Linked DNA regions of Ovis aries. The protein of the gene in region 1 purifies or fractionates together with the protein of each later gene. This does not show direct contact. Links are inferred from orthologs where the notes say so. Each region holds a gene or a part of one and is shown on either strand. Other genes may lie near its edges. The genes, in order: PRDX1 and TXN.

The links.
Region 2: the proteins of PRDX1 (region 1) and TXN purify together in Homo sapiens (affinity purification with western blotting; 3 studies listed by BioGRID, with this or other methods). This does not show direct contact. The link is inferred for Ovis aries from reciprocal best matches to the Homo sapiens genes PRDX1 and TXN.

The regions. Positions count from the first base shown.
Region 1 is NC_056054.1:20,143,120-20,146,969, reverse strand, and holds the start of PRDX1 (peroxiredoxin-1), read left to right. Parts: upstream 1-1,031; 5' UTR 1,032-1,325; coding exon 1,326-1,443; intron 1,444-2,726; coding exon 2,727-2,843; intron 2,844-3,850. UniProt on the Homo sapiens protein: Thiol-specific peroxidase that catalyzes the reduction of hydrogen peroxide and organic hydroperoxides to water and alcohols, respectively.
Region 2 is NC_056055.1:13,076,920-13,080,817, forward strand, and holds the start of TXN (thioredoxin), read left to right. Parts: upstream 1-1,009; 5' UTR 1,010-1,070; coding exon 1,071-1,094; intron 1,095-3,898. UniProt on the Homo sapiens protein: Participates in various redox reactions through the reversible oxidation of its active center dithiol to a disulfide and catalyzes dithiol-disulfide exchange reactions.

The DNA.
Region 1 (3,850 bases):
CTGCAGGCCAAATAGGAGAGAACAGGTTCTGCACGTTCGAACAAAAGCCTGAGGTTTCAAACAGTTACTCTCTGTCCTGGGAGTTACGACAGAGGAGCAAGATGAGTTACACTAAAAACAACAGCTAACACTTTCATGTGTGAGAATTGCTAAATAAGCTAGAGATGATCTCAACAAAGAATTCATAGTATTCCCATTCTACAGGCGAGAAAAGTTAAGGCTGATTGATTAAGACTCTTGCCTTAAGGCCACACATAAAATAACAAGAGTTTTAACCCAGGAAGACAGAGCCCCAGTTTCTATAAACCACAAATCAGAGCGGTGAATGAATGAGATCAAATTTCAGAAAGATTTCCTGCAGCCGCAGTGGAGTGAATGGGAAAGGAACTCATGCAGGGGAGCTGGAATGCAACAACCCTGTTATAAGGAAGAACAATAAGAGAGGCTGTCTAAATAATGAGGGTTACGGAGGATCAGTCCTTGGAGAAGGAAATGGCAACCCACTCCAGTATCCTTGCTGGAAAATCTCATGGACAGAGGAACCTGGTGGATTGCAGTCCATGGGGTCGCAAAGAGTCGGGCACGACTGAGCGACTAACACACACACACACACGGAGGATCAGTACTAGAGCAGAGGCTGCGGAAACAGGGGCGGAATATTTCAGAAATACTTGAAGAGATCGTTCTCCTCAGGGTTTGGTTAGACGTAGTCTTCCGTGAGCAGCAGCGAGTGCCCGTACCCTGGTTTGGGCCTTACGAACAAGGAGGAGGCGTTCGTGTTCTGAAAGGACTGAAAGAGCGCCTCAAACTCAGGCCTCAACCGTCGGCGGCGAGAGGGGGATTGGTACTCTAAGGGCGGGAGCCCGCCCCCAGCAAGGGAAAGCGCTGAGTCATCCTGGCAGGGCACGTCGGGTCCCGGCGGTGTGCTGGCCATATCCCCCTCCCCATTCCCCCCGCCTGCACCCCCGGCCCGCCCTGACTCTCGCGAGAGCCTTACAGGCTATAAAGGCAGCGCCCCGCGCACGCCTCGCGCGTCTTCTTCCTCGCTGGTATCGGTCCTCTTTCTCTGGAACTGGTGAGTATGAGGGCCGCGCCCCCGCCCCGCCCGTCACCTTTCCCGTCTTCTCCTCGGGGCCCGCTGAACTCAGCTGGGCTCCTCGGACAAAGAAGGCGGCCAGGCGAAGCGACCCTCGTGTGGGGCTCCTTTGGGTGCGGGGACGAGGTTGAAACCCGAGGCTAACGGCAGCTTGAGTCTCCCCTACCCCCAGCAATACAAGCAGAAAGCGCTGATTGGCTTGGCGTGGCGTCTGGGCGGGTTGGTGGTGATGGAGTCTCCTGACGCGCGGGTAAGGGAAACTTCTCGAGTGAATCTGCAAACTGATCAGGAACTGAGAGCTATCAGTCGATCGTGTAGTAGAAGGAGAGGTTGTTCCCGGTCTTCAGGTGTGGAAAGTTACTAAGATTCCGTTCTCCGTCTTTATTTTTCCACCTGCAGAATGGGGTTTGTAGTGATTCTAAATGTCCTCGGTGAAGACTGAGCACTCTTCTGGAGCTTTCTGAGACGCTAGGGTGGGGGTGATGATGGGAGTGGCAGGGAGGGTACAAGAAGTGGGTTTTGGCGGAGTGGCTTTCACCAGGGACCTTCAAGGGGCGATTTCCTGAAGGGGACACACCCGGTGGAACTCCAGCTTCCCCGCCTCCCGCTCTTGGTCGTGCTTTAGTGGACGTAGGGATCCCTTGGAAAAGGTTTGAATAAGGAGGACATGTATATTAGGGTCACCTCCTGTGTTTGGTTGGGTTTTTTGGTTTGCTGTTATAGGTGTTAAGCGGTTAAAAAAAAATTGTCACAGTCGATGTTCAGTCTTTCTTTTGGCTGTAGTATTATGAACCAAGAATTTTGGGACTTGAAAAGTTAGCTTCTTGGGATTATCAAACTGATGACTTACTGGGTTAAATCTTACCATGTTCTTGACCAGGGTGAATCCAGTGTTACGTTGCTTTTTGGCAATAAATTGACTCTTGTTCTAACCATTTTTCCAGGATCTTGGTCCCTCGGTAAACTCACTTTTGAAAGGACTTCTGGGCTTTAAACACAACACTTAGAATTTTGAAATTGAGAGATGCCATAATCTTGGACTTGGCCTCTTAAAAAATTGGATTGGCTTTAGGGTGTGTGTCTTGGGAAATCTACCCAGAGAAAGAACGTGTGCTTCCCACGTTCTGAAGGCAGATGGAGGTGCAGTCCAGGGAAAGGGCATCATGGCAGCTTCTGAGGCTTGGGTGCTTAGTGTTTATGGCATTGCACCTTTGGGCCCAGGTTTGAGAGTTTCCACCCTCTTCTCTTTGTACACCTGTATAATAAACGTACACAGGAAAATGCAGTTGTACTGATGATGGTTCAGGAACAGGAAGAGTTCAGTTTATAAAGAAATTCCCATTTTAAAATGAAAACAACATTGTAAATCAACTATATTCCAATAAAAATTTAAAGATCTTAAATGAACAGTCCCTCCCCTCAAAAATGAAAACAGAGGTGAGATTCAGAGATGTGTAATATTTTTGTTTGAAAAGTTGGAAAGCTCAGTTCATGCTTCTCACTGTTATAAAAGTTTATGTGTATATTCAAGACCAGTGGACAATTTCTACAGCTTAGTCTCTTAAATAGATGAAGGTTGTTATCTAGAAAAGTAAGACTTGTTTCTAATTCACTTTCTCATCTTTTCCAGCTGATAGCAATATGTCTTCAGGAAATGCCAAAATTGGGCACCGTGCCCCCCAGTTCAAAGCAACAGCTGTTATGCCAGATGGTCAGTTCAAGGATATCAGCCTAGCTGACTACAAAGGTAAGAGTAATTAAGTTCATTAATATGAAATTATAGTACAGTCTAGGGAGGGCTTGTTCACTCTATCTCTTGTCATGTTTGAGTGTAAAATGATTTTTACATCTCATTTGTCTTTAGGATAAGAGGCTGTTGCCTTCCTATTGAAGTGGTGATTATCATCAGTGAACATAGGGTAGATCTCCAAGTCCAAACTACTTCTGGAGAAGGCATGTGCCTACTTCATTATATCTGGACATAATATCTCAATTATCTTCCCAATATTGCTCCTCAGTTATTTAACTGGAGATACACTCATTATCTTGTTACAGTTTAAAGCCTTGGACAATTTAAAGTCTCAGAGCTCAAGTCTTTGGAGCTGTGAAACTGTTCAGTTTACAAAATGTGTGTCACGATTGAGGGTTTAGGCATGTTCCCTTGACATTTTACCCCCAGAGAAAAATTGATGTCACAATTGGAACAACTCTCCTTTCTGTTAAGTAGTTTCATGTAGAAACCAGGCAAATACTAATGAGGATCTTTTTACTTTACTGTCCTAGAATAGCAAGGTATTCTGGGACAGTTCAAAATACGGATTTCCTAGAATTTAAACTTAAGGACTCAGGCGTCAAGTATACCTTTCTTGGTGATACAGCAGTTCATAGAGTTAGCTTTTGGGTAAAACCTATGACTAGATTTCTTAACAAATTCCACATACTGGTTGGAATGAGAGCAGATAAGTGGGGCCCTGTGGAGGAAAGCTCCTCCTGGCAAACAAAGTAAGTAGTACCATAGGGAGGTGACCCTGGCCTAAGGGTAAAGGCATGAGGTTTAGGAAGAGTTGCTCTGTGCCCTCCTGGGCTTGACCTGCTGAAGCTTGTTAGCAAAACCCTGGGGGAAGGTTGAAGTGTGTCAGAAGGACCAGCATATTTTGATTTTGAAACATTGCTGGTATCTGGAAATGTGAATATTTGGAATTGTTGGTGAGAGACTGCTTGACAGGTTGAAGATCTACTTCAGTTGGTAATCAG
Region 2 (3,898 bases), on another chromosome or scaffold:
CCCAGGGACGCGGGAGCCTGGTAGCCTGCCGTCTATGGGGTCGCGCGGAGTCGGACACGACTGAAGCGACTTAGCAGCAGCAGCAACTATTTTTTGAGTGCCTACCATGTGTCAAGCACTCTCCTAATCACTTTAAAGGAATTTTATTTAATCCTCAAAACACCACCGCCAGGAATCAGGGACCATCCTGATTCTCATCTTACAGTAAGGAAATCGGAGGAACCGGGAGGTCACCTGCTCAGGGTCACAACTGTGTCACTTCCCCAGGACTTAACAACCAGCATCAACGCTACCGGGCAGAAGCCCGGTCGGTTCACAGTGGCACTAAACTGCTGTGTCATGATGCAACAGCAGGTTCCTGGGTGAAAGTGAAAGGACAGGAAGAAGGAACCAGGAGAACCGTCGCGGTACATTCCGGATAAGGAGGCGGCGAGGGCGAGTGGGGGCTCACACCGAGACACTTCCTGGTTATCGTTACTCAGCATTTTGTGGGGGTTCGCGAGACTGTGGGGCGGTGGTACAGCGGGTCTTTCCGAGAAACCATAAATGGCCTCTTCTCTGGGCGCGTCCGATTAAGGTCTGGCTGGCTCCTTCCCAGGTGACCCTCTAGATCAGGGAGTGGCCGCCGGCATGCGCCCTTTAAATCACCTGATGGCCCTCCCGCCTTCCCACTCGCAGGTGGGGTACAGGTGGACGATGCCGAAGGTTTCAAGCCCAGACGACTCCCAGGAGCTCCGCCCCTCGCCCGCGCTCGCGTCCGCCCGGCCCCTCCGGCCCCGCCCCTGCCAGCGGTCCCGGCCCCGCCCCCGCCAGCCGTCCCGCCCCCGCCAGCCGTCCCGCCCCGACCCGGCGGCTTCGGGAGGCGGGGCCTACCCCTGGCGCCGGCGCGGGCGCGGGAGGCCTGAGCGGGCGCGTCCCCGCCGCACGCACGCCGCGCGCGCCCGCCCGCCCCGCCCACCGTTACTATAAAGGGAAAGCGGGCTGCGAGCTGGCTAAGCTCCGTCCGGCGCCTCGCATCCGTTTCCATCGCTTGCACTGTCAGGTCGCTCTTCAGACCCCCAGCTGCCAAGATGGTGAAGCAGATTGAGAGCAAGGTACGCGTTCCGGGGCATGCCAGGGCGCAGCACGAAGCTCCGGGCAGCTGGGGTAGGCGGTGGGCCGAAGGTGGGCAGTCCACCCCTCTGCATCCCTCGGGGAAGAGGACGCGGCGGCTCGGCCTTGCACTGCGGGAAGCCCGGGCCTGGGCGCGCCCGGGACGGTGGAGCGTTCCCTGGAGGAAGGGAGGAGACGGACAGGCTTCCCTGTCCAGGTGACTTAGTGTGTCTGGAGGATGCACGCGCGCGGAGAGCGCCCGGGAGTCCTCCACTGCGCCCCCGCCACCCCTCTTCCCGGGAAGCCGCGATTGGGTAGAGGATGGAGGGAGGCTGCCTTAGGCCCCCCATCTTTATCCGGACACGGGCCTGGGCAAGGAGGTGGAGGGCTTCTTGAAGAAAGCCCGGGCTTGCTGGCCGCCACTCCTTCCTCGTGGAGCCGCGTGATCCACCCGCGCTTTTGGATGCAGTGAGCTCCCTGGGGAGCGGGTCTAGGCCGGAGACCCCCCCCCTCCCCCCGGCTGCCGGGGCGTAGAGGTGACGCGTGCTGCGGCCGCGTGAAAGGGGCGGTTCCGGGCTGGAGACACCCCCACCCCAACCCCTACGAGTCCGGCTTTAGTGGCCCAGGTGGCGGCAAGGAAGTGAAGTCCGGGCCGCGCCCTCGGGACTCCTCCTCCTGCGACGCAGGGGCGTGTTTCCGGCAGCGCTGGCTTCGGAATGACTCAGTCCCCAAGGCTGGGCCCGGGGGCCTCCACTGCCCTACCCATCTGGGATTCTTTCTCGGTCTGTGGGGTTCGCTGGAGCCCGGAGTCCCCTGGGTGCGGCCGCGCCCGGCCGTGTGCTCGACGGCGGTTGTGTCCTTTTAGGAATGCCCAAGGCAAAAAGTGTTGCATATATCGAGAGTTATTGCAAACTTAATACTCTCCTGCTCGGAGAATTCAGAGCCTGAGTGTCTGGTGTACTGTGCGCGCCCCCCGCCCCAAGAAATGGATGCTAATCCAGAGTCAGAAAAGTCAGTGGGAGAAAACTTCCCACCCCAGTAAAGCAGGGAATGGCGAGTGGAGTGCCCGAACTTGGTTCAGATCTGAGGTTGGCTTCGAGGAATGGAGGTTTCAGTGTTAATGGTTCCTTTTCTTCCTTTTACGATCAAGAAACATAAAGATCATTGTAGGAAATCTGGGAAGAGAGAGATCTGTTTTCCTAGAAGCAGCCACAGATAATTGACGTTTTTATTTGGGAGGTGTGTGTTTGTGGTCACATTTAGTCTGAACTCTTTCTGTGTAATTAGAAGATTTTGGAATCATTTCAATAACTGAAGACATTGCTGGACATTGTAGGCAGTTTTCCATGCTTCGATGAATGTTTCTGTTACGCTTTATACAGCGTTGAGGCTGCTTCCTCAGGTTAGGGTCAACATCGGTTGTGTATTTAGTTGTGAAGTCATGTCGACTCTTGTGACCCCATGGACTGTAGCTCGCTAGGCTTTTCTGTCCATGGGATTTCCTGGGCAAGAATACTGGAGTCGGTTGCCATTTGCTTCTCCAGGGGATCTTTCCAACCCAGGGATCAAACCCACATTTCCTCGTCTGGTTTCTTAACCATGAGCCACAGGAAAGCCTGGCGTCAGTATCTACTGAATGACTGGTAACAGTCTTGGGCGAGAGGGGGCGGAGGGGGGTGGGGTACGAGGGAGGGGAGTAAGGGGTGTTCCTCTGTAGAGGCTGGCGACTTCTTCAGTAGAATCTCTGAAACCCATGAAAGGAGTGAAAAATCTTTGGTCTAGCTGATGTGTCTCAGAATCCATACAACTACAAACCAAAAATGGATTGATTCCTGGAGCAGAGTCTTTTCAAAATTCAGTCTTTTCCTATTTTAGTTGCCATATTTAGTTTCCTATTTAGTTGTGGCACTTTCCTCCCCTCATTAATGGCAAGATGTACAAGGGTGACAGGAAGTTCATTACTCAGAAAAAGCACTGATCTGGGTTTGTAATCAATGGGTCTTCAAAACTATGATCTAGAGTCAATCAAAAGGTAAGCTGATTTGAATGTTTTCTTGTAACTCTTGAGTACACTTTCGATTTTCATTCTGATGGACTAAAATTGGTGCCATTGGTCATCCAAGACAGCTGAGGTTTTGGTAGTTCAGAACCACTGGGGTCTGTTTCAGATCCAAGTGGGATACCTAGACTATAAAAGTGAGGAAGAAGAAATCAACAGTTTGTTCCAAGAATGGCCACTGCCGTTTCTTGAACTCCTAATTTGAACACACGGGCACTTTCACTGAATGCTTTACAAACCACTCTGAGGCTTGTTGATTGCCTTTGGAATGGGTGTATTTAGGGAAAGAGATGCCAGAAGCTGCTCTTATTTATTTGCCCCAAATATGAGTGCATTGTTTTGTTTTCAGAACCTTTGTGTCAGTGATGGGGACCTTTATCAATGCTCACTGGTAGTTTCTGGAAGCTAGAAATTATGGTTTGCTTCTTAGTAAGATGCAAACTCAAGTGGCCAGAGAATAGAATTTGTCATGAAGTCTTACCTATACCTGGCTGTGTGACTCATGTTCAGTGAAGCCAAAATTTACTGCTGAAAGATATTCTAGATTGAAAGTAACCTCCCCAGTATTGACTGAAAGCCAACCATGTTCACAAAATCATGCATTCATCTGAGCGGACACTGTAATTCCTTATTTTCCTGTCTTACCTGGATCTTGCAGTAAAGAATGGCTGGTTTGACCTTAAAAAAATCACATTAGGGAAGGCTTTGAAGGAAATTCATCTGGAAAATATAGGTGATGGTTTGGAA